Sus scrofa: one gene and its partners. The protein of the gene in region 6 purifies or fractionates together with the protein of the main gene of each other region. This does not show direct contact. Links are inferred from orthologs where the notes say so. Each region holds a gene or a part of one and is shown on either strand. Other genes may lie near its edges. The genes, in order: serine/threonine-protein phosphatase 5, AKT1, HCK, AURKA, CHEK1, CDC37 and SRC.

Region 1 (4,549 bases), on a different chromosome or scaffold from region 6:
GGGTTTCAGAGCCAGCATTGTTGGTTCAGTCCCTTTCCCTCCCCCAGCCCAGCACAATTCCCTCCATTGAGGGCCCAGGTCACCCCCAGAGGGAGGGAGGGGTCAGGCCCTTCTCTCCCCATAGCACCAATCGGGACAGGCCATCCCTGGACAAAAGAGTGAGAAGTGCCTTCCAAAAAGGGGGTGAATTGGGTTGAGAGAGGGAGGCCTCTTCAAGGGTAAGAGTAGCACCATCGTAGAAAGAAGGGTGGGGCAGGGACACATAAGTGGTGGCGGAGTACTGAGGAGACCTGTCTTCTCACCCACCCCATGATATGCAGAAGGGCTGTGCGTGTGCCTGCGCGGCTGGGGAAGTCTGCGGGTTGTGAGGGAGCCCCAGGTTCCCCGGATAAGTAAAGGTACGTGCACATCTGGCTGGCTGAGAGGTGGGGGATGGAGGGAGTTCTAGGACGGAGAAATTTTAGGGATAGGAGCTTGAGAATGAAGAGGCTTGAGCATGAAGTCCACTAGCACAAGGACCTGGAGGGGGGGATCTGGAATAGGAAGACTTAAGAGTAGGAATTGGAGCAAGTGGAGTCGGGTGGGAAGCCCAGAATCTGAGTCAGAGGTCTTAAGATTCAGAACCAGAGGAGTCTACAGGGAGAGGTCCAGACTCTCAAATCAGAAGCATTTGGAGGCTGATTTCTAGAATCAGAAGAATTTGGATCTGAGATCAGAGGCACTTGGAAGCTGTGAGGCCTAGAACCAGAGGAATTTCTAGAGTAAGAACTGAATTTAAGACCAAGTTCTGGAACCAAAAGGAATTTGGGGTCATAAGCTCTAGAATCAGGAGTTTAGAGCAGTAGGCCTAGAACCAGAAAATTTTATAGGGCAAGGTCTCTAATCTGAAGATGTGTGAAGGCCAAGTTCTAGATGCAGGGTGATTTGGAGCCATAAGATGTGGAATGAGGGGGAATTGGAGATTGTCTAGAATCCAGGCAGGTATAGGATGAGGTGTGGAATCAGAAGACATTCGAAGCCAATTTCTAAAACCAGAGAAAAGAGAGATCATCAGATCCGCAATCAGAGGGCCCTGGAAACTGTAAGGTGTAAAGGTTATATAGTCCAGACCCAGTAGATAGTAGAGATCCTAAAGTCTAGAGCAAAAATGAACTAAAAAGTGTGGTTCTGGAGTTCCCGTTGTGGCGCAGTGGTTAACGAATCCGACTAGGAACCATGAGGTTGCGGGTTCGGCCCCTGCCCTTGCTCAGTGGGTTAACGATCCCGCGTTGCCGTGAGCTGTGGTGTAGGTTGCAGACGCGGCTCGGATCCCGCGTTGCTGTGGCTCTGGCGTAGGCCGGTGGCTACAGCTCCGATTCGACCCCTAGCCTGGGAACCTCCATATGCCACGGGAGCGGCCCAAGAAATAGCAAAAAGACAAAAAAAAAAAAAAAAAAGTGTGGTTCTGAAGGTACTTGGTATAAGATCAAGACGGGAAACCCATTTTGCTTCTTTTTGATGAGAAAAGCAAGTCTTGCATGTAGCATTGAAAAAGAATTGAGCTGGACACAATGGAATACTACTCAGCCATAAAAAAGGATGACATAATGCCATTTGCAGCAACATGGATGGAACTAGAGAATCTCATACTGAGTGAAATGAGCCAGAAAGACAAAGACAAATACCATATGATATCACTTATAACTGGAATCTAATATCCAGCACAAATGAACATCTCCTCAGAAAAGAAAATCATGGACTTGGAGAAGAGACTTGTGGTTGCCTGATGGGAGGGGGAGGGAGTGGGAGGGATCGGGAGCTTGGGCTTATCAGATACAACCTAGAATAGATTTACAAGGAGATCCTGCTGAATAGCATTGAGAACTATGTCTAGATACTCATGTTGCAACAGAAGAAAGGGTGGGGGAAAAAACTGTAATTGCAATGTATACATCTAAGGATAACCTGACCCCTTTGCTGTACAGTGGGAAAATAAATAAAAAATAAAAATTAAAAAAAAAAAAAAAAAGAATTGAGCTGGGCATCTTGAGGTTTAGAATCAAAATGATTTAGACATTCGGAAGCCTGGATTTGGAACCAATCAAATGCATTACAGATCAGGAAGACTAGAAGCAATTCAAAGCTTAGGGTTGCAGGGTCCAGAATCAAAGGAAATCATTGGCCGTAAGAGCCAGAATCAGCAGGAGTTGGGGTATGTACCATCGAGAACAAGCGATCTTTATGGGGAGAGCTCTAGAGCCAGAGGACGCTGATGGTCATGGGCCTGTGGGAGTTGGAGGCTGTGAGGCCTAGAACCAGACAACCTTAGAGACTGTGCAACAGGAAAATCGATTTCGGAGGTTGCGCATTCTAAAACGAGAAAGAAATGAAGACTGTTAGATCTGGAATCAGAGCTTTTGGAGGCTGCAAGGCCTGAAGCAGACCACACTGGGGGTTGTGTGGTCTAGAACCATAGAGTGTTGCTGTTTAAGGTCTGGAAGCAGAGGTTGGGGGCTCCAGCTAAGTGTCCTAGGTGTAGCCAGTGGAGGCCCCCCCCCCAGTGGAAGCCCACCAATGGAGCTGGTGTCTACGCCAGGGAGGGGCCAGCAGAAGTCCAGGGGGGAGGAGTGGGCAGAGCTGAGGGGCCACTTGGGAAGCTAAGGGCTTGATCAGAAATCTATCTTGAGGTGTGAGATCTGACCCAGAGGGCCCCCGCTCCCCATTGACACCTGAGTTGGGGCCGGGGGCGGGGGGGAAGATGAGAGTTCCACATTATTATGAACCGCAGGTAATTTGCAGCGATTAAAAACATAATGAAAACAACAAAAATCAAAATAAGAATGAAAGAAAGATGGAAAGAAACCTGGTGATGGTTATCCACACTCCCCCAAGCCTGCAAATACAGCTCTGAACCCCACCCTCCCCAACCCCTGATTACTGAAAGCAAAGCCGAGAGAGCTGGAGAAAGGGATGAGGTAACCGGTATTGAGAACCCCAAGGGAAGTCCTGAGAGAAGCAGGAGGGGGCCAGGAACCCCCTCCCAGAGGTCACTGAGCTGAGACCACTCCAGAGCGCCCCAGACAGTAGGGGGTACGGAGGGGTGGGGGCTGAGGTAGGCCCAAGGCGGGTGGGGGCCCCTGAGAGGAGAGGGAACCCCTCTCCCGGCACCCCCACCCTGTGCGTTGGCTGCCGGCTTGGAGTATGATTGGCGTCCTCTCTGCGGGGGGCGGGAGGGAGGTGGGAAGAGGGCTGGGCTCAGTGGGCCTGGGCCAAGTCTGCCGCTGGCTGGAAGTGGCTCCTGGACTGGGCGGCGTCCTCATCCCGGGAGAGGGAGAGCAGGGAGGGGCCCAGGCCTGTGGGGGAGACGGAAGATAAGCGATTCACAGGAGTCATGCACCCTAACCCGGCCTCCCTTCCAAACAGTTAAGAGTATGGCTGGCGAGGCTGGCATGCCTGGATTCAACCAGGAGTGAAATCCTGGGCACGGTCTCCCTCAGCCTCAGGTGTCCAGGATGTTTAAGGCAGGAGTCAGGAAGCCCAGAGCCAGTTGCTGCCTGAGTTTGAATCCAGGCTCTACTGTTCACTTGCTGTATGCCCCGGGGGCAGGTGACGTTACCTCTCCGTGCCTCACCTAACCTCGTCCGTCTGCAAAGTGGGCTAAGAGCAGAACCTCCCTCCCAGGGCTGTTAGGAGGGTAATTGAGTGAATCCATGTAAAGCGCTGTGAACAGCGCTCAGTGAGCTCTTGTTATCTGGAAAACAGGGATACTTAGACCCACCTCCTTCATGAGAATCACTCATTCAAAAAATAGTTATTGAGGGGAGGGAGTTCCCTGGTGGCCTAATGGCTTAAGGATCTGGTGTTCTCACCGCTGAGGCTCAGGTTTGATCCCTGGCCTGGGAACTTCCAAATGCTGTGGGCACAGCCCCCCCTACAAAAACTTACTGAATACCTGGTGTGTGCCAAGCACGGGGGACACAGCAGTGAACAGGACAGAGGAAACTTGCTGCCTTCACGGGGCTGGCATTCCAGTGAGGGGAATCGATTGGATCACTTACATAACAGATTTAGCACAAAGCTTGGCACAAAGTGAGCACTAAATAAATGTCGGCTCTCTCTGCCCAGCCACTGCCCAGCCTCGCACACACAGTGGAGGACCCCTGCCCTGCATGACTGACGATAAACGAATAACGACATTGGAGTTCCCATCATGGCTCAATGGTTAACGAATCCGACTAGGAACCATGAGGTTGTGGGTTCGATCCCTGGCCTTGCTCAGTGGGTTAAGTAAGGATCCAGTATTGCTGGGAGCTATGGTGTAGGTTGCAGACATGGCTCCAATCTGGCATTGCTGTGGCTGTGGTGTAGACCAGCAGCTGTAGCTCCCATTGGACCCCTAGCCTGGGAACCTCCATATGCCACAGGTGTGGCCCTAAAAAGACAAAAAAGAAAAAAAGAAAACCTCCTGATGCCTGGAGGTTTTGGGTGGGAGATGGTGGAAGCAACACAAGCAGAAACAGCAGCTTGTCTTGTACCCTGCAGGGGGCAGAAGTGAGGGGAAGGGTGGGCT
Region 2 (3,950 bases), on a different chromosome or scaffold from region 6:
GAGGGGGACAGAGGCCTCGGGGCTGAACACAGCCGGGGGGCTCAGGATGTCCACGGGGTCCAGGGGGCGGCGGGAGCGGTGGCGCCCGGGCCTCCTGGAATCCAGCGTCTCTTCCTCGCTTCCCTCTTTTTAAATTTTACTGGCCTCACCCGTGGCACGTGGCCGTTCCTGACCCGAGCCACTGCGGTGACAACGCCTGATCCTTAACCCCCTGTGCCGCCAGGAAACCCCTCTCCCTCGCTTCTGACCCGGCGCTCTGGGCGGTCGGAACCCGAGGGCCAAGGTTCTCCTGGGCCATCTGTGGGGACCTGTGACCACGGAGCCCTGGGAGCAGGGGCGGGGCCTCACCACGCGGTGTTTGGGCTTAGCCAGGGACACCTCCATCTCCTCGGCCCCGGAGTTCTCGCTGGGCGAGCCCGACCGGAAGTCCATCATCTCTTCCTCCTGCCGCTTGAGCCCGTCGGCCACCGTCTGGATGGCGGTCGTCCACTCCTCCCTGCAGGGCGGTCGGTGAGGCCCCAGCCCCACCCGGCCCGGGCCTCCCCGCCTCGGGAGCCCCAGCCCAGAGCCCCCACGGAGACCCAGGGACACGGCCCGCTGACCCCGCTGACGACGGGGGCCGGCCGGCCCGCGGGGGCTGCGAGGGGCCAGGAGCGGTGGGGAGGGCGCGCCTACCGCTCCTCCGGCGTCTCCACGTGGAACGTTCGCTCGATGACGGTCGTCCACTGCAGGCAGCGGATGATGAAGGTGTTGGGCCGCGGCCGCTCCGTCTTCATCAGCTGGCATTCTGGTGGAGGCAGCGGCCATGTCCATCCGCACCCCCCCTCCCGCCCCCCGCAGCTGGGACCCTGCTCGGAGCTCAGAGGCGCCCGGTGGCGGCGGGGGGGGGCTCTGGGGCGCCTTCCTTCAGTCTCCCAACAACTCCCCGCCCCCTCCGCCGGCCAGGCCACCGCCCTCAGCCCCCCGGAAGGCGAGGCGTTTGGGGCCCTGGGGAGGGGCCCGCAGGGCGGAGGCACCCGCGTGGACAGGAGCTGGCCCCCGTTCTCCCCGGCACACGAGGACAGCGGCCCGGCCGCCCCCCTTCAGGCGCGAGGCCAGTCCCACGCGGAGGCTGGAGGCGACTCACCCTCGAAGAGGCCGCCTGTCCTCCCTGGAGGCCGCCGGGGCTGTCTCCCCCCACCCCTCTGAGGCCCACACCCCGGAGGCACACGCGGCTTAACAGGAGCCGTACTAACAGGAGCGCGGGCACACCTGCAGCCCGGGACCTGGGGGCGCCCCAGGCCTGGAGAGGGGCCGATGCTGGCCCAGCCCGCGCGAGGCGGAGGGGGCCGTGGGGCCCGCGCAGGGGCCTGACATTCCAGCGTCCAGGCCCTGGCAACCGTGAGGGGCCCCAGGCAGGCTCCGCCGAGAGCTCAAGGGAGCGAGGAATGGTCTGCCAGGCCTGGGGGCCGGGAGGGGGGCTGGCGCCCAGCCTTGTGGGCAGGGGACGGAGGAAGCTTTGTGGCCAGCTTTCTGGGTTCCCCTCCCCAACGTGCTCAGCCCACTGGAGCCCACCAGCCGCTCCCAGGACAAGGTGCCTGACACCCACCCCACCCCAGCCCAGGGCCGACTACTCCTCCCCACCAGGAAGAGCCCCTGGTGTAGAGGCCCCACACAGACGCCTCCCCCTCCCGCCAGCTCTGCTCCTGGTTCAAGGCCCCAGCCCCGCCCAGCGCCGAGGAAGCCCCTCTGGCTGGTGCCCCCACCCATGACCCCTGAGAGTCCCCACTCCCCGGCATTTCAGCCTGGGAATCGCTCCCAAGGGGCCTCGTTTGCCCAGTAAGGCAGCACCCCACATAGCCAAACTTCCTTCCTGGGGGGCTCCCATGGGCCCTGAGGCGGCTGGGGCAGGTGTCTGCCTCCGTGACCTCCCCTCACCCAGTCCCTACTCTACCCGCCGCTTTGCTGAGACTTAAGGAGCCGGGTGGGGGCGGGGGAGGGAGCGCTCAGGGCCCAGAGGAATGGGGCCTTAGTAAAGCACCCCCAAAAGGAGCCCCCCAGGCTGGGGCCTCGGAGGGCAGGGCCTCTGCTCCTCCCATTAGGCGCCCTGGAGTGGGGTATGCTGGCTGTGCCCCTGCGCCAGGACGGGCTCCCGTACCAGGACGGCCCCACCTCTGGGGGCCCGGAGGCTGGGAGTCCGTCGGCTTGGGGACAGGCCCCTCTGAAACCCTGGACCAGAACATAGTGGGATGGGGGAGCTGGAGGACCCCGGGCTCCCAGGGCACGTGGCCCAGAGGGCAGAGCCAGCCGCCGGATGGGGACACCTGAGGAGGCGCCTGGGGCAGAGCCAAGGCAGTGCTCTGCCCTTCCGACCACACCCAGAGGCACCCTCTCTGGGCTCACAGCCTGGGCCAGCCCCGGGCAGCGCCCCCCTGTGGGGCTCCAGGCCTGGGTCCCCCCTGCGGGCACAGGACAAGGCCGCAGCAGCCCTGGGTCAGCTCGGCAGGTCTGAGACGCCCGGCCCCGGCTGTGCACGGAGCCCACGCGCCACCACGGGGGTGGGGGGCCGGGGCGTCTGAGACCCTGCGCTGGGGAGTGGGAAGCCGGCCGCCCCCGCCCCCTCCCCCCCCCGCCCCCCGTCCTGCAGCCCCAGGGCCCCAGGGCCGTCGCGGGCAGAGCCCCGCCAGCTCTGCCGCGGCCGGGGGCCGCGGGCCCCGGCCCCGGGCGGCTCGGGGCCCCCACTCACGCGCCACGGAGAAGTTGTTGAGGGGCGACTCGCGCTGCTCCAGGTCCTGCGGCCGCTCCTTGTAGCCGATGAAGGTGCCGTCGTTCTTGAGGAGGAAGTACCGCGGCCGCCACGTCTTGATGTACTCGCCTGCGACACGCGCGCGCCGTGAGGGCCTGTGCCGCCCGCCGCGCCCCGCGCCCCGCCCAGCGCGCCCCAACTCGACGCCCAGACCCTGACGCCTACCAGGGCGAGCAGAGGGGAGGCAGGAGGCAGGGCTCGGCGTGGCAGAGCGCCCACCTCGGATGGGAAGCCCGCCCCCACCTGTGCTGGAAAGGGGGCCTGGGGTCACCTAGACATGGAGGCCAGCCCAGTCCAGAGGGCCTTCCTGGAGGAGGCGGCACCAAGCCAGCAGGTCTCCAGCAACAGGGAAGGCACCAGCGACAGCCACTCCCAGGGGGTTCAGAGCCGAGAGCTCCCCCCACCACCCTGGCTCCCGCAAGGTGGCGGCTGCAACAGTTATGCCCACCAGAATTGCCCCCCCGCTCAAGCCCGGGCGAGAGGACGGAGCCTGGCATCCAGTGGGAGGGGGCGGGCCGCACACTCAGAGTGGGACTCATGGGCTTGCCCGGCAGACACAAGCCACCTGCAGCCCGTCCCCAGGGTGGGCGCCCGGGAACAACGCCACGCACTGTCCAGGGGTCAGAGCAGTCGTGGGCATCCCGCGGAAGCCAGAGCCAGGCTGGGACCTGCCGTCCTGGACCCTGCATCCCGCCCGTGGGTCACCCAGGTCCTCAGCAAAGTTCCCCCCAGTTCTGCAGCATCAGCGGTGAACAGGCGCTCGCGCTTCAGAACCAAGCAGATGTCCTGTGATGTTCCAGCGACTGCCATTTTTCATACTGACACCCAGGAAAAATGTTTCATTTACATTTTGCCAAGCAAGGAGTTTGAACAACAACACTGAACTTCCCAAGTAGGCAGCCGCCTCCGCAGAGGGTCACCGGGCAGCAGCCGGGAAAGCGGACGGGGTCCCTGAGCCCTGGATGCAGGCACCCGGAGGCCCGTCCCAGACCCCTGGCTGCCCCCGGCCCCGCCTGCTCCTGCTCCCACCCGCTGCCCAGCCCCTGCTCTGCATGGGTGCCCCAGAGACAGACAGAGGCTCCAGCCACTGCAGCTGTCCCTGCCCAGGGGGCCCAGGCAGGGGTCACCACCAGGCCTGGACACCACCTACACAGAGGACCCAGGG
Region 3 (4,434 bases), on a different chromosome or scaffold from region 6:
TCATGGCAATGCTGGATCGTTAACCCACTGAGCAAGGGCAGGGATGGAACCCGCAACCTCATGGTTCCTAGTCGGATTCGTTAACCACTGCACCACGACGAGAACTCCTAATGGAAAATTTTATTTGAGCCAAATTTGAGGATTTAAACCCAGGAAGAGCATCTCAGAAAACTCTGGGACCCAGTCAGCAGTCAAGGCACAGTTATAGTTTTTTGAGACAGAGGGCTGTATGTTAAATGACTTTTTTTTTTTTTTTTTTTTTTTTTGACCTTGCCCTCAGCATGTGGAAGTTCCCAGGCCAGGGATCAAACCTGAGCCACAGCAGTGACAACACCAGATCCTCAACCCACTGACTCACCAGGGAACTCTTGAGAACTGCTATCTATTGAGGCCCTTGTCTGTGCCGTCCAAAGTGGTTCTCAAAGTGTGGTTCCTGGACCAGCAGCATCAGTATCACCTGGGAATGCAAATTCTTGGGCTCCAGTGCCAGACCTACTCCATCACAAACTCTGGGGTCAAGGCCCAGAAACCTGGGTTGTAAGAAGCCTTCCAGGTGCTACTGATGCACAGATAAAGTTCGAGAACCACTTGGTTAATCCTTAAAAGCTGTGATAGTAGTGAATACCAATTAAGCCGTCGACCTGTCAGGCAGTGCTTTAAGAGCTTTCCTTCAATAACTCAGTCTAACCTTCAAAACAACCCTATGACACAACCATTATTTTAATTATCCCCATCTTACAGTTGTGGAAACGGAGGCACAGAAAGACCAGATCCCCTGCCCAAGGTTCAACAGGCAGATTGCTCCCAGAAACCTCTTCCTTAACTATTACACTAAACTGCCACAATAGTGATCTCTAACACACTCTAGCTTACTGCAGCCTTGGAAGGAAGAATTGATAGTGCTCCTTGACAGATGAGGAAAGGGAATTTAGAAAGGGAGGGTGACTTGTCCAAGGTCTCACAAGGAGGAAAGGGAGGGGCCAGGCATCCTGTGGTCTGTCCAGGGGATTTTGGGGTTTAACCTAGACTGCTGGGGATCAGGGCCCAGCGTGGGAGGAGGAGCAAGCTCAGCGAGCAGACCCAGCTGCAGCCTTGCCTGGGTGTGGCTCACACGTCACGCCTACGGCCAGCTGTCCCCTTCCCCACTATGGCTGCCAACCCGCCGTGACTGTGACCATCATCCACCCCAACCAGGAATCGTAAGGGTCTTCCCCTCCCCGGGCTCTGTGAAGACTTTTTTTTTTTTTTTTTTTTTTTTTTCCTTTTGCAGAAAGGGAAGCTGGACCGCCCAGAGAAGTGGCGGCTCAGGCTTAAAGTCACTCTCGAGCCTTCCCAGGTTCTCAGCCAGGCAGTTCTGCTATTTATCTGGGCATCCTCCCGGAGGGTTCGGTCCCCCCATCCGGCCACCTGTCATCCGCTTCCCCGACGGTCCCTTCCAGCTGCAGCCCAACCTTCCCCGCTCTCCACCCTGGGCTCCCTCCGCAGCCCGAAGACCGTCAGGCCAAGGTGACGAGCTGATGTCGCCCGATCCTGGGTCCGAGAAACTCACCTGGGCGCCCGTTCCTCCTCCGGTGGGCAGCCCGGGTCCTCGCAACTGGAGCGACCCCCCAGCTCGGCAGATCCCGGGGTGCCCGGGCGCCGGTGCCGCAGGGAAGAGAGAGTGACTTTGGAGAAGAGGCTGGGGCTGCGCTCCGAGGTGTTTCGGTGCGTTGTTTTTTGGGGGCCCCTCTTGGCTGAGCTGTCTGCGTCCCTCCCAATCGCCCAGAGTTGCGCCCGGGCTAGGACCTGGGACGCCTTGGCGCCCACAGACCATCTGGGCGCTTTAGCCGCGCCCGGAGTGGTGCTAACCCCGCCCCCGAGTATCCTAAACCCGCCCCCGAAGATTCTAACCCGACCCGGGTTATTCTAATCTCCGTCCCCACCTCCCCAAAATCCTAATCCCACCAAGTAGGAAATTATTTTTAAACCCCGCCCATCCAAAACTTCTAACCCTGTCCCCAAGAATCCTAACCTCCTTCCAGAAGGATAACCCCGCCTCCAAGAATTTTAACCGGTCTCTCAAAGGTCATAACCCCCAGATAACCTAATGCCTTCTCTAATGTATTCGAATTCCATCTCCCAAAGCCCTAACCCCGTCCCAAAGGATTCTAAACCCCGCCCTCCCCAGAACCCCAACACCCCATCTCCTCCCAAGGTCTTAATTCTGCCCTGAAGGATTTTGATTCTCACAGCGGAAGGAATTTTAACCTCGCCTACGGGAGGTTTCTAGTTCTGCCCCCAGGATTTTAATCCCGGCCAACCAAAGGCTTCTAAAAAAGATTCTAACCCAGGCCTCAAGATTTATGACCCTAATCCTAAAGATTCTAATCTCTCTCTTAGGTGATCCTAACCTGTTCCCACAGGATTTTTTTTTTTTTTTTTTCTTTTTAGGGCCGCACCCCGCGGCACATGGAAGTTCCCAGGCTAGGGGTCAAATCGGAGCTACAGCTGTCGACCTACGCCACAGCCAAAGCAACTCGGGATCCGAGCCTCGTCTGCGACCTATACCACAGCTGACCGTAATGCTGGATCCTTAATCCACAGAGCGAGGCCAGAGATCGAACCCCTATCGTCATGATACTAATCGGTTCTTAACCCGCTGGGCTACATCAGGAACTCCCTCACAGGATTTTAATACCCTTTAAACGCCCGACCCCCCCCTTCCAGATTCTCATCGACCCATTCAAAGATTCCATTCCTGACCTCCAGGATTTCTGATCCCACCTATTAAAGGATTCTAAACCGATTCCGGAGGATCTTCACCCCACTGTCGTCATTCGTACAGGATTCTAAATCCACTCCCCCTCCTCCAAGCATTTCGACCTGTTTCCCCACCATTCCAAACCCCTCCTTCTAGCCCAGGCCCCTCCCCCAGGCCGGGTCCTAAGCCTTCCCATCCCTTCTGTGGTCTGCGGTTTCCGCTCTGCAGGCCCCTCGCTATTCAAATCCATGCAAAGTGCCCTGCCCGCAGGAACCAGCCTAGCTCACTCCTTGTCGGTTTCCGGGTAGCTCAGAGGAGTTCCAAAACTGAGTGACGGCAAGTGGAGGCCGCACATGAAAGAGATGTGCCCAGCGCCAGGCAAGGGCACAGCATATCTCCACCTGGAAAGAGAAGGATTCTCACCCAAAATTCTGCTGAACACACCTCCAGAATCCTACTGCGTCTCTGTAGTCCCACTGCTCCTAGCCAGTTCAGGCCACCTTCATCTCTCATTCATTCATTCAGCAATACTGTGCTGGGCTCTGGGCTACACAGGGCTTCTCAACCATGGCACTGGTGACCTTTAGGTCCTGAAATTCTTTGTCTTGGGGGCTGTCCTGTGCATAGTAGGATATTGAAAAGAATTCCTGAATTTCATCCACTAGATGTTAGTAGCAAACCCTCTTCCCCATTCGTGACAGCTAAAAATGTATCCAGACATAACCAAATATCTGAGGAGGGGTGGGAAGGGAGAACAGAAACTTGAATGAGAAAGATAATAACCCTGTTCTTATGTGTTTGGTGTGTGTACCTAAATACATGCCTGCACTTTTAAAAAGCAGATAATGTTTTGATTGTGTGCTTGATTTACTTGGGTGGTAGGTATTCAGTTTTGCCTTTTTTCCCCACTCTATCACTCGATACTGTTACTATCTAGCTATGCTGCCAAAGGTAGTTGTCTACATCCTCCATAGTCTATGTATCCATTCCCCTAGTCATGGATGCCCAGACGGCACACTACTTCACAGTACCATAAACACAGCTGCAATGGACCGCCTCATACGTGTCTCCTTATGAACCCATGTGAGAATTTCATAAAGAATTGCTTGACCAAGAATGCTTACGTAATGGCTGCTGCCTGGATTCCTCTCCCACCACTTCCCCATATCTTTTTTTTTTTTTCCCCTGCTTTTTAGGGCTGCACCCACCACATATGGTGGTTCCCAGGCTAGGTGTCCAATCAGAGCTGCAGCTGCCAGCCTACGCCACAGCCACAGCAACTCAGAATCTGAGTCGCTGTCTGGGATCTACACCACAGTTTATGGCAACGCCGGATCTTTATCCCACTGAGCAAGGCCAGGGATGGAACCTGCGTCCTCATGGATACTAGTCAGATTGTTTCCACTGAGCCACAGTGGTCACTTCCCCATATCTTGATTGACCCTTGACACCATCTACTGGTCTTAATTTGAATTCCCAAGAAGCAGACCTTAGACATGGATTCAAGTGAATGTTGATTATTTGGAAGATACAAAAATCACTAGTAAGGACGTAAATGATTGAGACAGGGCAAGAGAAGGAAGCCAGTTAAGAGAGTATCATCAAGCTCCAACCGTGGGCTCCTAGAGCTCAATCCCATTGGGGAGCAAACACTGCAGACAGTGTGCTATGCCCACTTCAGAGTTTTCCCACCC
Region 4 (3,950 bases), on a different chromosome or scaffold from region 6:
TATTATTACTTTTTAATTTTATGGCTACACCTGTGGCCTATGGAAGTTCCTAGGCCAGGGATTGAATCTGAGCCACAGCTGCTACCTATGCCACAGGTTGTGGCAATGCTGGATCCTTAACCCGATAGTGAAGCCAGGGATTGAATCACTCCTCATGGATACTAATTGGCTTCTTAACCCATTGAGCCACAACGGGAACTCCTGGAATTGGGATTTTTGGTATAAAATTTCTGAATTGCAGCTTCTTGCTAAATGATAATTCCCAAGTCATTGAGAATTCCCAGGAAGTGTTTAATATGCCTCCCTTTTTATTTTTACTTATTTATTTGTGTTTGTCTTTTTAGGGCCACAGCTGTGGCATATGGAGATTCCCAGGCTAGGGGTCAAATCAGAGCTGTAGCTGCTGGCCTACGCCACAGCCACACCAGATCCGAGCTGCGTCTGTGACCTACACCACAGCTCATGGCAATGCCGGATCCTTAACCCACGGAGTGTGGCCAGACAGGGATCGAACCTGCATCCTCATAGGTACTAGTCAGGTTCATTACCCTTGAGCCACGACGGGAACTCCCCTCCTCCCTTTTTAGATGAAAGCTTAGTGAGCATTCCCGTGGTTTTAGTGGGAGTTGGGCGGGTAGGAGGTGGAGGTGCACTTGGGTGTCTGCAGCAGACTCTCAGTGTCACCTGGGAGTGGTGATTAAAACCGCTGTCCCTTTCTGTCCCTCATCAGTGAGTGACATTGGTTATTACTAGGAGCAGACTTTGGGTTGTTGTCAAAATAGCTTTTGTTGGTGAAGGCCCTGAAGTTCATTTCCCCCCCATCCTAGACCACAGTTCCACCTGGCGATGGTCCAAAACGGGTTCCAGTGACCCAGCACTTTCCAGCTCAGCATCTGCCGTCTGCAAACAGCGGCCAGGCCCAGCGGGTCTTATGTCCTTCGAATTCCTCACAGCGCCTGCCTTCGCACACGCAGAAGCTCGTCTCCAGCCATAAACCAGTTCAGAATCTGAAGCAGAAGCAGTCGCAGGCAACCAGTGGCCCTCGTCCTGTCTCCAGGCCTCTGAGTAACACCCAGCAGAGTGAGCAGCCCCAGCCGGCAGCGCCTGGTGAGCAGCGTCTGAGCCTCCCTGGATAGCCCTTCTTCTGAGTTTCTGAAGAAGCACGTGTACAGGCGTGTGTTGATGGTGTAACCGTAGCGTTTCCATCCTTTCTGTTTGGATGGGGAGAAGATCTGATGTCCGGGGGGAGGTAGCAAGGTCTTCTGGGGGCCAGCCTGAGTCCCACCCTCGAGGGAGAGTTGGACAGCCAGGGAGGGCATGGTGCCAATCCGCTGATGGTATGGGGCGGGGGGTCGGGGCGCAGGTGCACTTGGAACTGAAATTCAAAGGTTTGCAGTGTGGGGGAAGTGGCGGGGGATGGGGTTTAGTGGATGGACTGACGCAGGCCAGGCAAAGTCGTGGTGAGCACTGCTGGCCGTGGAGTGGGGCTTCCTGCCTATGCATTGGGAAGCCGCTGAAAGGGTTTTGAGCGGAGGAGGGGCTGACTTGCCTTTCGTAGAAAGCTTATCAGGATGTGTGGAATGATTTGGAAAGTAGCGATGCTGGACTCGGGGGTCCGAGGAGGGAAGGAGGCCATTGTGGTTTGGGTCAGACATGACTGTGGCCTGAACCAGGTGCAAGAGGGTGGGTGTCAGCAGCAACTGTTCCCAGCTCACACACAGCAGGCTTCCTTCATCCATGCTGTGTCAGTCTGTCCTTGGAACCACTCTGTGGAGGCAGCCATAGGTGTGTGTGTGTCGTTTGTTTTAGGGCCACTCCTGCGGCATATGGAAGTTCCTGGGCTCCGGGTTGAATTGGAGCCGCAGCTGCTGGCCTACACCACAGCCACAGCAACACTAGATCCAAGTCACATCTCTGGGCTACGCTACAGCTTGGGGCAATGCCAGATCCCTAACCCACTGAGTGAGGCTAGCGATGGAACCTGCATCCTCACAGACACTGTGTTGGGTTCTTAACACGCTGCAAGGGAGAACGACAACATTGAGCTACAAGAGGAACTCTGAGGTAGCCATAGTTTTTAACTCAGTTTCGCAGGGGAGGAAGCTAAGACTTGGGAGCATCAACTTATTCAAAGACGTAGCCGGGCCGGAGAGGTGCAGGTGAATTTGAGAGCTCACTTAGGATGCAGTCTTGACAGAACTGGGCAATAAACCGGACACGAGGTGGTGGTTACACCGATGGCCTTAACTGAGATCATGAACCAAGGAGGGGAAGGTCCGGCGTAGGCCTGAATTCAGATATCTGAGCAGCGCAAACTGCTGCTGTTTGAGTTTGAAGTGCTGGAGATAGATGAGTAGAAAGGGCCCATGTAATTTCCCCTTGGCAGCTGGTACAGTGGAGGGAGGCTGGTGGTTGGCTTATGTTTTGTTGCACATTGAAGGTAGCAGATGGACAGTGGGCTGGCCAACCTGCTGGGGAAAAGTTGGGAGCCTGTTATGGATATGCAGATGGGTAATTCTGCTTTAGAAGCTCTTCATTTAGAAACTAAGGCTTCAGGGAGAAGCTATGTTGTCTGGAGTCTGAGTGATCTGAGGGCCTAACTGTATGTATTTGCTCATCTTTACTCGCAAGAGTTCTGTAAAGACTTTGGCAGAAGTCAGGTTAGGGTGTGGTAGTCTTTTTTTGTTTTGTTTTAAGAAAACTGAAAATGATCTGGATCTATCATTCTGGGAACACCACCAATATTTTTTGGTGACTTTTTTTCTTTTCGGCTATGCCTACAGCATGCGGAAGTTCCAGGGCCAGGGAGAGTTCCTGTCGTGGCTCAGTGGTGTACGAACCCGACTAGTATCCATGAGGATTAGGGTTTGATCCCTCACTCAGTGGGTTAAGGATCCATCGTTGCCGTGGGCTATAGTGTAGGCCGGTAGTTACAGCTCCAATTTGACCCCAGCCTGGGAACCTCCATATGCCATGGGTGTGGCACCAAAAAGACAAAAGACAAAAAAAAGAAGTTCTGGGCCAGGGATCAAACCTGCACCATGGCAGTGTCAACACTGAGTCCTTAACCACTAGGCCACCAGGGAACTCCCTGGTGACCATTCTTTGATTCATCTCTTTTCAAACATTTTGTTTTGCCTTTTTTTTTTTTTTTTTTCCCCCTTTCTTTCTTGGCTGCACCCACAGCACATGGAAGTTCCCAGGCCAGAGAGTGACTGAGCTGCAGCTGTGACCTATACCGCAGCTGTGGCAATGCCGGATCCTTAACCCACTGCACTGAGCCGAGGATCAAACCAGTAATACCACATAAACAAGCCAGATCACTAACCAAGTGTGCCACAGTGGGAATTCCTCAAAGCTTTTTAATTTATTCTGTATAGTTATTCCAAAAACAGATTTTTTAACTTATTCTATCTAGGAAACAATCCTGAAAAGGAAGCGGCATCAAAACAGAAAAATGAAGAATCAAAAAAGTAAGTTTTATTTTATTTACAAAGTTCTGTACTATCCTTCTGCTAGAAAGTACTATGTAATTGCAAATTTAGTTATGGGATCATTTTTTAAAAGAAATAGTTCCTTTTATTCTCACTTACAAAATATAGATGTTTCAGATTTCTGATCTTTAAAACAGAGAAGGAATTTTAATGACAGATTTCACTAGGGACTTGAGTTTTTCTTATTTTTCAAAATTGGGAAAAGCTTGTATCAATCTGTTACAGAAAGGTAGTAAAAGTTGCTCTCCACTCTTAGAAGTAACTACAGCGTGTGGTTTATGTATGCTTCTATACTTCTTTGCTAGTCAAGAAGTGCAGGTTTGTTTGAAATGGCAATAAAGTGTCCTGTTGCAGAACTGTAGAGACATACATGACTGTGTGAGTATTTTGAAGGTGTTAATAGAATTATTGCACTTGGTCTTCATGATAGAGCTTGGCTGTATTTTCCTCTGCTCT
Region 5 (3,950 bases), on a different chromosome or scaffold from region 6:
GTGCATTCGATCCTTGGCCTGGGAACTTCCACATGCCTCAGGTTCAGCCAAAAAAAAAAATTCCTCCTATTCCAATTTCCTCAACTGTTGCAATAACATCCTTTGTAGCTTTTTGCCTTTAAACCCATGATCTAGTGAAAGATGATGTATTGAATTATTAATCAGGTCTCTTGAGTCTCCTTTAATACAAGATACTCCTCTCTGTTTTTCATGATACTAAGATTTTTGAAGTTTAGAGACAGATTAGAATGACAATGTTATAAATATACTATAGTATTTAAACAAGAAAAATTGGGAGGAAGGACAGGGAGTCCATTGTTAACTGTTACAATTTAAGCACATTACATAGTTTTTAAGAAAATAACAACAAGCATCATAATATTTTTAATAACCTTACAGAAATCTTTTAAGAAACACTTTTTCTTAAGGTAAAGATCTTAAATTCCTTCCATTTCAATTGTTTCTTTTACAGATTAAACCAATTATTTTATATTTTTATTTATTTATTTGGCCTTTCAGGGCCGCACTTGCAACATATGGAGGTTCCCAGCCTGGGGTTGAATCGGAGCTGTGGCTGCCAGCCTATACCACAGCCGCAGCAATGCCAGATCCGAACCTCATCTTCGACCTATACCACAGCTCACGGCAACGCCAGATCCTTAACCCACTGAGTGAGGCCAGGGATCGAACCCAAAACCTCATGGTTCCTAGTCAGATTTGTTAACCACTGAGCCACAACGGGAACTCCTACTTTATATTTTTAAAATACACTGATAATGATAGCCTTTTACACAAATATATAAATTTTTCTTCAGGAAAAATTATAATGAAAACCAATGAAACATACCTGATTCATACAACTTTTCTTCCATTGATAGCCCAATTTCTCACAGGTCTCTTTTAGGCACTGATAAGATTTGTCTGCATCCAGTTTGGTAAAAAATCGTGTCATTCTTTTGACCAGGCGCTGCCAGGGGTTCTACATGTCAATAAAGGAAAGCTGAATAAATCAGATTTATCACCAAAAGCAGTCATATTATAGCTACTTGGTCTGAAAATTCTTTTCTCCAATGTAAGATTCTTATATATATGTCTCCCCTAATTCTCTTCCACTTGTCAAAAATAAATAAATAAACTTTATCATGTTAATACTATATTTCTTAGATTTATACATTACAAAAAAAAAAAAAAAAGAGAGAGTGACTTTAAGACAAAAAAAAAAAAAAAAAATCAAAGGGCTGCCGTTACTTATTTGAAAAACTAAATTCCCTTACCTGTGAGGATCCTGGGGTGCCGAGTAACTGACTATTCAGGAGCATATGATCAGGGCATGTGGGCTGGGAAAAACTGATCCCTTGTACCAGTTTATCAATGTATGAAGGGCTAGTGTCCCATAACGAAAGACCTGTCCGTGGTTCTGGCTGAGAACTGGAGTACTTCACATTTTCTTCACTGGCATTAAGATATGGAGAAAAATATATTTAAATAAAATTCATCAGGCCTTTCATATATCACTTTACCATTCCACTCTCACAGATAAAAATTATATTCATCTTTTTTTTTTTATTTTATTTTACGGCCACACCAGTGGCTTATGGAAGTTCCTGGGCCAGGGAATGAATCTGAATTATAGCTGCAACCTACACCACAGCTGTGGCAACAACACATTCTTTTTTTGTATGTGTGTTTTTGCCATTTCCTGGGCTGCTCCCGAGGCACATGGAGGTTCCCAGGCTAGGGGTCAAATCGGAGCTGTAGCCGCCGGCCTACGCCAGAGCCACAGCAACGCAGGATCTGAGCTGCGTCTGCAACCTACACCACAGCTCACGGCAATGCCGGATTCTTAACCCACTGAGCAAGGCCAGGGATCAAACCCGCAACCTCATGGTTCCTAGTCGGATTTGTTAACCACTGAGCCACGAGGGGAACTCCGCAACAACACATTCTATTTTTTTTTTTTGTCTTTTTAGCTATTTCTTGGGCCGCTCCTGGGGCATATGGAGGTTCCCAGGCTAGGGGTTGAATCGGAGCTGTAGCCACCGGCCTACGCCAGAGCCACAGCAACGCAGGATCCGAGCCGTGTCTGCAACCTACACCACAGCTCACGGCAACGCCAGGTCCTTAACCCACTGAGCAAGGGCAGGGACTGAACCCGCAACCTCATGGTTCCTAGTCGGATTCGTTAACCACTGCGCCACGACAAGAACTCCCGCAACAACACATTCTTAACCCACTGTGCAACAGTGGGAACTTCTCATCTTAATAACATATTCATGTATTATGTTTCATGTGAACTATTACATGGAACTACTCTTGATCTTTTATAATCAGTCTTACCTAGAAGCACTATTGACTGGAGAGAAGTCCAAATTGGATTGAATATGCTTAGAGAATCCACTAGGAGACTCTGATACACCACCTGAAGTGACTCGGGGCCTCTTTGCCCCTAAAAGAGAAAATATATATACAAATGCTTTCAAGTTTTCTAGGCAGTTTTTGTTGTTTTTTTGTTTTTTTTTTTTTTGTCTTTTTAGGGCCGCACCCATGGCATGTGAAGGTTCCCAGGCTAGGGGTCGAATTAGAGCTGTAGCTGCCAGCCTATACCACAGCCACAGCAATGCCAGATCCAAGCCGCGTCTGTGACCTACACCACAGCTCATGACAACGCCAGATCCTTAACCCACTGAATGAGGCCAGGGATTGAACCTGCAACCTCATGGTTCCTAATCTGATTTGTTTCCGCTGCGCCACGGTGGGAACTCTGGCAGACTTTTTTTTTTTTTTGTCTTTTTGCCATTTCTTGGGCCGCTCCCACAGCATATGGAGGTTCCCAGGCTAGGTGTCGAATTGGAGCTGTAGCCACCAGCCTATGCCAGAGCTACAGCAACTCAGGATCCAAGCTATATCTGCAACCTACACCACAGCTCACAGCAATGCTGAATCCTTAACCCACTGAGCAAGGCCAGGATCAAACCTGCAGCCTCATGGTTTCTAACCAACAACTGAGCCATGAAGGGAACTCCCCGGGAGATATTTTTTAAACCCAGCTGGCAACTTGAAGAAGTGAAACCACATCTAAATTCATTTATTTAACACAAAATACTTATGCAACAAATAGTGGCTCTTCCTACATGATTTTAGGAGAAATGTGGTCATAATGAATTTACTGGGACTCACCTGCCAAATTGTACAAACTACACATTTAATAAATCCTGACCTGTAAGTATGTTCCAAGTGTAGGGTATCGTATTAAGGCCATAATTTTAATGGTACCATTTATGGTAACAGAACAATGTTCTATTAAGACCAAGAGACCCAGCTAAGGGATCGAAACTTTTTAAAATATAAAAAATAATTTGTGGTAGTGACAATGAACATTATAAATCTGCTCTAACATTCTTTGATCCTCTGGAAAAGCTTTACCAAGAATAGCCACTGTACAGACTATATCACCACTATAAATTCATGGCTGCAACCCTCAGCTGGATCCTCACTCTGACAGTCAGTCCTGTTTCTGTAATCAGTTTCCTCTCCCTTTACCCACAATGATATTTTCAAAACTTCTACACTCCTATCAAATTACCAAGACCACCCTCCAGTATCTCACTACTTAGCATATGATACCACCTTTCATTTCACAAGGAAACTAAAGCCAGTGGAAGCTCCCTCAACTTGCCACTACCAAACCTGCTAACTTACTTGCATTCCAACCCATCCTCTTCTCCCTTCCATTCTCCCATCAACTGTTCATTCCTCCACTTGTATTTGAGCCCATACCCTCCTGCCTCTCAGGGATTTTGACACTCTTTTATTCCTTCTCAGACTTTTTTAGCTTCTTCCTCTTAAACATGATTAGGTTTAGCCAAACTTTTTATTTATTAATCCATTAATTCAATTCAAATTTTTTTTTTTTTTTTAGGGCCGCACCCTCGGCATATGGAGGTTCCCAG
Region 6 (3,950 bases):
CTGGAGGCAGAGGACCAGCCCTTGTCACAGGCGCCACCTACCTGGCCTCCCCCAACCCCCTGAGAGGCCTTGCGCCCAACTCACCAAAGTGCTTGATCTGTTTCTCATACTTTTCCACGAAGGTTTTGTGTTTCTGCTCCCTCACCTCCTCCGACTCCTCCTCCGCCTGCTCAGGCTTGGTATTGACCATGCTCTGTGGTGGGGCGAGAAGGGGAGTGGGCTGGAGCGAGGCCATGGAGCGCCTCGAACGTGGCCGGGTGGGCCTCGGCCGCATCGCCCATCCCGTCCAGGGTGGAGGTGGTGACAGCGTCGTGAACCTCAATGTGGTGGGAGCGTGGGCGTGGCAGGTGTGGCCTCGGACTAGGGCCTTGGGGCAGATCAGAGGGAGGGGTACCAGTGGGGTGCCTCACCTACCCAGCCCCCCATCTCCTCCTCCCCCACTGACCCCAGCACCTGGCCTCTGTTCCTGGACCTCCCCCACCCCAAGCAAAGCTTCCCACACACCCCTCTCTCTCTCCCCACACACACCTTGCTGAAGCCATCCTTGCTCAGTGTGTCCACGTTCCAGGGCATGCTCTTCTCCTTCTTGCGCATCTCCTCCAGCTTCTGCTCCCAGCTCCTCTCCTCCTTGAGCAGCTGCTGTGCCTCGGCCTGGAGCCGTTCCAGCTCGGCCTCGCCGCCCTCGCCCTCAGCTACCTCCAGCTCCTTCAGCTTCCGCTGACACTCGGCCACTTTGCGCTTGCACTCGCGGCAGCCCCGGTCCAGCTCCTCCTTCTCTTTCTGGAACTGCTCCATGCGCTCCACCCGGGCCTACAGGAGGGGGATGGCCCATCGCTCTAGGGAACGGCTTGTCCCTTGACCCCTGCCCCATCCCAGCCTCAGGCTCCCGGCAGTGGCACCTGGGAATGGCCCCACAGTGTGGCCTCACCACCCTCCCTACACTGGACTCCCAACTTCCGCTCTCGCCCCTAGAGGTACACCTGAGCCAGGGCAGGTCCTTTCTCTGCTCAGAACCCTCTATGGCTCCCACTTCATGCTGAGCACAAGCCCAAGTTCTTCCCACAGTCCACAAGGCTGTGCACGATTTGTCCTGTCACCTCCATGCCCTCATCTCCTCCTGCTCACCCTACACTGGGTTAGGGTTAGGGTTACCTTCATGAACCCACTTCAAACCTCAGGGCCTTTGCACTTGCTCTTTGTTCCCTTGGCCTGGAAGGCTCTCTCCCCAGACCACCCCCGCCAACCCCTTTGCATCCTTATCATCTTCAAAGGACTTCAACAGATGATGCTTTCCTTGACCCCCCTACTGAAGGTCACAACCTCCCCTATTCTGCTCTGCTTGATCTTCCTCCTCAGCACTCGTGACCCAACAATGTCCCGTGACAATTATTTATCATGTCTTAAGCACTGTCCTCCTCCAAAGATACTGGCTTGGGGACCTGTTCACTGTTGTCTCCGGAGCCAGGAACTGGGGCTGGTGCATAGGAGGGATCCAGGGAAGGCATGCTGGATGTAATAAAGTATTGAGATGCTGGCTGGAGGCATGGCCACCCCCTCAGGGTCTCGGGCTTCCCCTCCTCCCTGGAGCTGCCCTCGGTAACACTCCACCACCCTCCCCCGCCTGCCGGGCTTCCCACAGTCACCTCCAACTCTGTGCCCCAAACTGAATTCCCCACCTGAGCTCCCCAAACTTGCTTTTTTGCTGTGTCTTCCCTCAGTGAAGATCGCCACCACCTCCTGCACCCAGCTGAGGCCTGCCATTAGCCCTGTCCCTCCCTAACTGCCTCCAAATCTTGACAGTGTTCATTTCCAGGTGTTTCTCCACTTTGCTCCATCTGGTGTTACACGTGGATCTGCAGAGGCCCACTCGCCTGTCTCCAGGCCAGCACGCCCAGCATGGTGCCCACCAGCCTCCTGTCCCCACCTCATCCTAGATGCTGCTTCCCAGATCTCCTCCTCCTCTGCACCCCAAGCTCAATGATAGCATCCCATCTCCTTGGTCCCCTATCCAGAACTCTATCAGATCACTGGGCCTCCCCATTTCCCACCCCATCACCTTCCCCAGCTCCCAGCACTGTCTGCTCTACTGAGCCCTGAAAGGCACCACCATCTTTGATCATCGTCCTCCCCCCATCCCCCCGCTTTCCAGGCTGAGACACTGCCAAAGCCTTTGAAACGCATGTGCACCTGCCCACAGCCCTCCCTGACACCTCCATCTGGAGGATCTGGGTTCAGATGGGACCCCAGATCCCCTGCCCCCAAGCTGTCCAGAGGGCACCAAGCCTCCTTGGAAGGTTAGGGCCCAGGCTAAGGCTGGCCCTTGTGGTTCCCTGGATGGACCTGCCCTCTCATACCTGTTAGCCTCTGCACATGCTATTCCTCCCACCTGGAACCCTCTTCCCCTTACACCATCTGCTTGTCCCCAAGTCTCAGCTTCATCAGAGTCTTCCCCAAGAGCCCCCCACCGCCCGGAGTTCCCATTGTGGCTTAGTGGTATCCATGAGGACACAGTTTTGATCCCTGGCCTCGCTCAGTGGGTTAATGGATCCGGTGTTGCCATGAGCTGTGGTGTAGGTCAAAAATGTGGCTCAGATCTGACATTGTTGTGGCTGCAGCTCCAATTCACCCCTGAGCCTGGAAACTTCCATATGCCTCGGGTGCAGTCCTAAAAAGACCCCCCCCCAAAAAAAAGGGAGCCCACCCCTGCTAGAACCACTCAACCACTCAGCCCCAACGGCCCCTCTGTGATCATCAGATGAGGTGAGGAGATACTGGTGGATGTCCTTCAGGCCCTAGACCTGGGGTCATATCCCAGAGCCACCATGTAATGGCCAAGGGTTCCCAGGGCCAATTCTTGAACCTCAGTTCCTCATCTGTCAGAGGCAGACAACAGTGCCAATCTCACAGGGTTGCACCGGGAGAAACAAAATGGGTTATAAAGAAGACAGTCCAGAGCTGTGCTTGGTGAGCAGCATTTCCATGCTGACTAATGTCATTACTGCCTGTCCGGGCAGACAATCTCTTTCTGGGGACTACACAGGGGCTCAAATAAGAAAATGTACTTCAAAGTGCTTAGCCCAGAGTAAATGCGGGTCACTGGGAGTGGTTGCTGCTGCATCATACTGGCACTTACTGGCTTGTGACCTTGGCCAAGCTGCTTACACCTCTCCCTGCCTTGGTGTCCCCCCTCCAAAAAAATGGGGCCTCACAGAGTTGTTGCGAGGACTAAAAGAGTTACTTCAAGGAAACCACTTGCAACACAGCACTCAGTATACACGTCCCACTGTTAACACCATTGTCACGGCCAAGGCCACAAGGATGGTCTGCTAACTTGCTTCTGTACTTTATTCGAGGTTGGATCTCTAGGTCCTAGCACAGGGCCGGGCCCATGCTGGGTGAGAGTTGGGAGACCTGAGCCCTTCTCTATTGCTCCACAGGAACAACCCAGCCAATCACAAGCCTCGCTTTTCCCATGTGGATGAAGATGGGAGAAAGCCCTTGCTTTGCAGGGAATGCCTTGCATCTTCTGTCACCTCTCTTGCTCCATGATGGGCCTGCGTCGCCCTGGAGCCTTCCCGCTACAATATGAGGGGCTCTCTATGGTTGGCCTCAGGTGACAGCAGGAACGTACCACGCTGCTGGTTTCTGCTGGGTAGCCATCGAAATCTCGGCATCCTCTGAGCAGCTGCCAGGAGGCCCAAGCTAAATAAAGGACTCCTGGAGCGGTGAGGGTGGCAGCCTGCCTGGCATGGGCTTTACAGCTCTAGGAGGGGCTGTACCCAGCTGGGCAGGGCAGAAGCCCCAGCAGTGAGAAGGGGCCACAGGTGTCACTGACACCTTGCCTTATACATAAGGGAACCGAGGCTCCCAGAACCTTGATGCCACATAAGCTCACTGGAAGGGGCCACAAGAAACCAGTACTTATTTGTCTCTGGGCAAGGGAGCCAGGG
Region 7 (3,950 bases), on a different chromosome or scaffold from region 6:
TGGCTTATTCCTCCTCAGGGCCTATTCCCTAGTCAACTGCTCATCCTCTGCAGATCTAAGCCGAGACACCTCTTCCTCTAGGAAGCCTTCCAGGATTCCACCCAGCCCTCCTGCTATTGCATGCACAGCTCCCTTCTGTCACTCTCATGATCCTGGGAGGGGATTAAGGGAAGTTGGGTGCCACCCTGGACTGTGAGCTCCCTGAGGACAGGGTTCCACTGGACTTGTCCCCCACTGGCTCCCTGGCACCTGCCCAGGTAGCCACCCCTTAAAGTCTGATGAATGAATGAATGCCTCAGGGAGCAGGCGTATGAGGCAGCATGGGCCTGTGTCGGGGAGGGTGTGTACACACAGGTGTGTCCACCTGGTCTGGAGGGCATCATGGATGTCCCCAAAGCCTGTATGCACTGTGGAACCCAAAGGCCCCGGGGCGCTTGCCTGGCCTGAACTTCACCTCCTGCCTCTGTCTTCAGAACACGCAGATGGCCTGTGCCACCGCCTCACCACTGTGTGCCCCACGTCCAAGCCGCAGACTCAGGGCCTGGCCAAGGATGCCTGGGAGATCCCCCGGGAGTCGCTGCGGCTGGAGGTCAAGCTGGGCCAGGGCTGCTTTGGAGAGGTGTGGATGGGTAAGTCCTTGCCCCTGTCCCCGCAGGGGGGGCTTTGAGAACCAGTGTAGTCTCTGCAGCAGCTCAAGACCTCATTAGTTCTCCCAGCCTTCACCTTCATGAGTCTCAGCACCTCTGCTGAACAGTGGGCCCCGTTTTCAATATGGGTGACTGGCAGCAAGCTGGGGTGTAAACTGCCCCCCTCCACAGACCGTGGCACCTGCTTGGGGCGGGGCATCGTGACTCCTCAGTGACTCGCCGTGTAGTCTGGGCCAGGTGGGTGGCTTCACTCTGAACCTCGATCTTCCCAGCTGTAAAATGGGGCTGGTGATAGCAGGACCCACCAGTGGGGCTGAGAGAATGCTGGCCCCGCGTGCGTCTGTATGTTCGCTCTCCGCTGTGGGACAAGAAGCCTCAGTTCACGTGAGGAGCGCTGGGAAGTGCCGGGTTTGGAGTATTCCAGGCCTGGGAACAATCTCCTGTCTAACTCTGGACAAATGGCAAACCCGTCCCTGCAAACACACATCTCGCAGCCCCGACAAAACCCAGACTCTCTTCTGCTGACTGGTTTCTTTTGACACGGTTCAGGGTGAGGGAGGCAGGGTAGTGAGCCTGCGTCCAGCGGAGGGATCGCCTGTGCAGGTCCCAAGGTCGCTCCACCTGAGCCGCAGTATTCGCTTGACATCACTGCCTCCACTTTCCTCCCTTCAGAGGAAGAGGTGGTGGAGGAGAGCAGGGGGTTCCTGGGTGGCAGGCACCGCAGGGGCAAAGGCCTGCCGGCTGGAGGTCCAGCAGAGTCAGGAAACGGGAGGTGTTGGCGGGAGAGGGGCCGGGGTGAAGAAGCCAGCTTCTAGGCACAGACATGTGAGCAAACCCTGAGACATCCACAGCATCAGCTGTTCTGGTGGCTGCAGACCTGCTTCCTGGCTTGGGCATGAGTGAGGCCAGAGGAGGAGGCTCTCGTTCCTCCCTGGATGATCCAGGTTCACTAGTGAATCCCCAGATGGCCTGTGTCTGGAGGGCCACAGACATGGGCTGGGCCCCAATCCACAGATGGAGGCCAGGACAGGAAGGGGTAGGTAGGCTCAAGGCCGCTCAAGGAGCCTCAGGCCTGCCTCGGAGAAAAACTCAGATTAAATGCACTGGTTTAGAACAGCTTCCCCTGAGGCCTCACAATTTAAAAGCCCGGAGTTCCTGCTATGGTGCAATGGGATTGGCAGCGTCTCTACAGCGGCCAGAATGCAGATTCGATCCCTGGCATTGGGTTAAGGAGCCGGTGTTGCTGAGGCTGCAGCTTGGTTCCTTTTTTTAAAGCTTTTTAGGCCAGCACCTGCGGCATATAGAAGGTCCTGAGCTAGGGGTCGAATCGGATCTGCAGCCTCCTGCCTACATCACAGCTGGAGCAATGCGGGATCTGAGCTGCATCTGTGACCTACACCACAGCTCATGACAATGCTGGATCCTTAATGGCAATGCCAGGGCCAGGGATTAAACCTGCATTCTCATGGGCACTACTTGGGTTTGTTTTCACTGAGCCACAGTGGGCACTCCTCGGCTTGGTTATGATCGCTGGCCCGGGAACTCCATATGCTGTGGGGTGGCCAAAAAAGAAAAAAACACTCCCCCCTAAAAAAAACACACCAAATGATAATAATAAAATGGCAGTCGCTGCTGTTATAACTGTGTCCTCACAATGAACTTGGTCTAGTGGTTAAAATATCGTTTAATCCTCACACAGCCCTGCAGGTGGATACTATAGCGTCCCCATGTTCCAGAGGAGAAAATTGAGGCTCAGAGAAGGGAACTGACTTGCCTATAGTCCCACTGCTGGGCAGGAGGCAGAGGTGGGAGCCAAACTTGGTGCAAAGTCTTCCTTTTGGGGGGAGTGTGTCTTGATACCAGCTCTTGCTCTCCTGGCCTTGCCTTGAGACCAGCTCAGCCCCCACCTCAGCCCCACCATTACACATTCCAAATTTGCTAAAGCTTGAGGCACCTTTGATGTGTGACCCAGAGGGAACGTGACCACCCAGGAGAGAGCAATTGAGTTGGAACCATGTCTCCCAACTCTCAGAAGAACGTGCTGCCTTGGGGACGTTTCTCATAATCAGAGTCCTAACCACAGCTACTATTTCTTGAACATGTACCAGAAACTCATTTAATCTTTGGGCAGACCTGTGAAAAGCGTCCTGCCATTATGCCCATTTTGCAGATGGGGAAACTGAGGCTCAGAAAAGGGCTGGGCTGGAGTTCCCACTGTAGCTCAGTGGAAACCACCCTGACTAGGATCCATGAGGATGCAGGTTCGATCCCTGGCCTTGCTCAGTGGGTTAAGGATCCGGCATTGCCGTGAGCTGTGATGTAGGTCACAGACATGGCTTGGATCCTGCATTGCTGTGGCTGTGGCATAGGCTGGCAGCTGCTTCTCCAATTCCATCCCTACCCCGGGATCTTCCATATGCCGTGAGTGTGGCCTTAAAAAAAGAGGCGGGGGGGTGGATGCTGGGCCTTGGCTGGACTTGGCACATGGCTAGGGAGGCCAGAGCTAAACTTGGCATCCAGGAAGGCAGATCCTGGTCCCCTATGAGACGGGCATGGGGGTCTTCCACTGAGACAGCTCCCCCCTTTCCATACAGGGACCTGGAATGGCACCACTAGGGTAGCCATCAAAACCCTGAAGCCTGGCACGATGTCTCCGGAGGCCTTCCTGCAGGAGGCCCAGGTCATGAAGAAACTGAGGCATGAGAAGCTGGTGCAGCTGTACGCGGTGGTGTCGGAGGAGCCCATCTACATCGTCACGGAATACATGAGCAAGGGTGAGGCCCTCGTGGCGGCGCGGAGACGCGGGCAGCCCCTCGCTGGGGTCCTCACCAAAGGGCAGGTGGGACGCGCTTCGGGCAGGTGTAGCGTGTCTGTCTTTAAATGTGGAAGGGAAAGAATCAACTTCCCATGTCAGTGGAAGGTTAAACCAAAGAGTGCCTTTCTTGTTTCGTTTTGTTTTTAAGTGATCTCCCACAATGCACCTGGTATCCCCGCTTTTGCTGGTTTTCTAAAGCTGTGGGCTATTCCAGGCTTGGGAGGAGAACTCCCCCGATCCTCCAAGCTGAGCTACATTTGGGTCAAGTTCCTGGCTTGACCTTTACTTAGTTTTAAATTTAACTTTTTTTTTTTCAAAATTCCACTTTTTGGAGGTATGATTTACATATGATGAAGTACACCCGTTTTAGGCATCCAGTTCAGTGCATTTTAACAATTGGATACACCGTGCCTCTCTTAGAACAATCAAGATCTAGAGCTCCATCACCCCCAGAAAGCACCCTTGTACCCTCCAGAGACAGCACCATC

What was found.
Region 1: the proteins of CDC37 (region 6) and serine/threonine-protein phosphatase 5 purify together in Homo sapiens (affinity purification with mass spectrometry; 4 studies listed by BioGRID and IntAct, with this or other methods). This does not show direct contact. The link is inferred for Sus scrofa from reciprocal best matches to the Homo sapiens genes CDC37 and PPP5C.
Region 2: the proteins of CDC37 (region 6) and AKT1 purify together in Homo sapiens (affinity purification with western blotting; 5 studies listed by BioGRID and IntAct, with this or other methods). This does not show direct contact. The link is inferred for Sus scrofa from reciprocal best matches to the Homo sapiens genes CDC37 and AKT1.
Region 3: the proteins of CDC37 (region 6) and HCK purify together in Homo sapiens (affinity purification with mass spectrometry; 3 studies listed by BioGRID and IntAct, with this or other methods). This does not show direct contact. The link is inferred for Sus scrofa from reciprocal best matches to the Homo sapiens genes CDC37 and HCK.
Region 4: the proteins of CDC37 (region 6) and AURKA purify together in Homo sapiens (affinity purification with mass spectrometry; 3 studies listed by BioGRID and IntAct, with this or other methods). This does not show direct contact. The link is inferred for Sus scrofa from reciprocal best matches to the Homo sapiens genes CDC37 and AURKA.
Region 5: the proteins of CDC37 (region 6) and CHEK1 purify together in Homo sapiens (affinity purification with mass spectrometry; 3 studies listed by BioGRID and IntAct, with this or other methods). This does not show direct contact. The link is inferred for Sus scrofa from reciprocal best matches to the Homo sapiens genes CDC37 and CHEK1.
Region 7: the proteins of CDC37 (region 6) and SRC purify together in Homo sapiens (affinity purification with mass spectrometry; 3 studies listed by BioGRID and IntAct, with this or other methods). This does not show direct contact. The link is inferred for Sus scrofa from reciprocal best matches to the Homo sapiens genes CDC37 and SRC.

The regions. Positions count from the first base shown.
Region 1 is NC_010448.4:52,371,744-52,376,292, reverse strand, and holds the start of serine/threonine-protein phosphatase 5, read right to left. Parts: upstream 3,027-4,549; 5' UTR 1-3,026. Other genes in the region: HIF3A (hypoxia-inducible factor 3-alpha), read right to left, coding at 3,027-3,332. UniProt on the Homo sapiens protein: Serine/threonine-protein phosphatase that dephosphorylates a myriad of proteins involved in different signaling pathways including the kinases CSNK1E, ASK1/MAP3K5, PRKDC and RAF1, the nuclear receptors NR3C1, PPARG, ESR1 and ESR2, SMAD proteins and TAU/MAPT.
Region 2 is NW_018084979.1:3,045,181-3,049,130, forward strand, and holds part of AKT1 (RAC-alpha serine/threonine-protein kinase), read right to left. Parts: intron 2,855-3,950; coding exon 2,726-2,854; intron 788-2,725; coding exon 676-787; intron 497-675; coding exon 349-496; intron 1-348. UniProt on the Homo sapiens protein: AKT1 is one of 3 closely related serine/threonine-protein kinases (AKT1, AKT2 and AKT3) called the AKT kinase, and which regulate many processes including metabolism, proliferation, cell survival, growth and angiogenesis.
Region 3 is NC_010459.5:35,706,974-35,711,407, reverse strand, and holds the start of HCK (tyrosine-protein kinase HCK), read right to left. Parts: upstream 2,836-4,434; 5' UTR 2,764-2,835; intron 2,123-2,763; exon of another isoform or gene 1,550-2,122; intron 1-1,549. UniProt on the Homo sapiens protein: Non-receptor tyrosine-protein kinase found in hematopoietic cells that transmits signals from cell surface receptors and plays an important role in the regulation of innate immune responses, including neutrophil, monocyte, macrophage and mast cell functions, phagocytosis, cell survival and proliferation, cell adhesion and migration.
Region 4 is NC_010459.5:56,962,389-56,966,338, reverse strand, and holds part of AURKA (aurora kinase A), read left to right. Parts: intron 1-827; coding exon 828-1,107; intron 1,108-3,418; coding exon 3,419-3,473; intron 3,474-3,950. UniProt on the Homo sapiens protein: Mitotic serine/threonine kinase that contributes to the regulation of cell cycle progression.
Region 5 is NC_010451.4:52,775,945-52,779,894, reverse strand, and holds part of CHEK1 (serine/threonine-protein kinase Chk1), read right to left. Parts: intron 2,447-3,950; coding exon 2,338-2,446; intron 1,453-2,337; coding exon 1,275-1,452; intron 980-1,274; coding exon 848-979; intron 1-847. UniProt on the Homo sapiens protein: Serine/threonine-protein kinase which is required for checkpoint-mediated cell cycle arrest and activation of DNA repair in response to the presence of DNA damage or unreplicated DNA.
Region 6 is NC_010444.4:69,206,308-69,210,257, forward strand, and holds part of CDC37 (hsp90 co-chaperone Cdc37), read right to left. Parts: intron 811-3,950; coding exon 529-810; intron 368-528; coding exon of another isoform or gene 194-367; coding exon 85-193; intron 1-84. UniProt on the Homo sapiens protein: Co-chaperone that binds to numerous kinases and promotes their interaction with the Hsp90 complex, resulting in stabilization and promotion of their activity. Inhibits HSP90AA1 ATPase activity.
Region 7 is NC_010459.5:40,515,602-40,519,551, forward strand, and holds part of SRC (proto-oncogene tyrosine-protein kinase Src), read left to right. Parts: intron 1-473; coding exon 474-629; intron 630-3,241; coding exon 3,242-3,421; intron 3,422-3,950. UniProt on the Homo sapiens protein: Non-receptor protein tyrosine kinase which is activated following engagement of many different classes of cellular receptors including immune response receptors, integrins and other adhesion receptors, receptor protein tyrosine kinases, G protein-coupled receptors as well as cytokine receptors.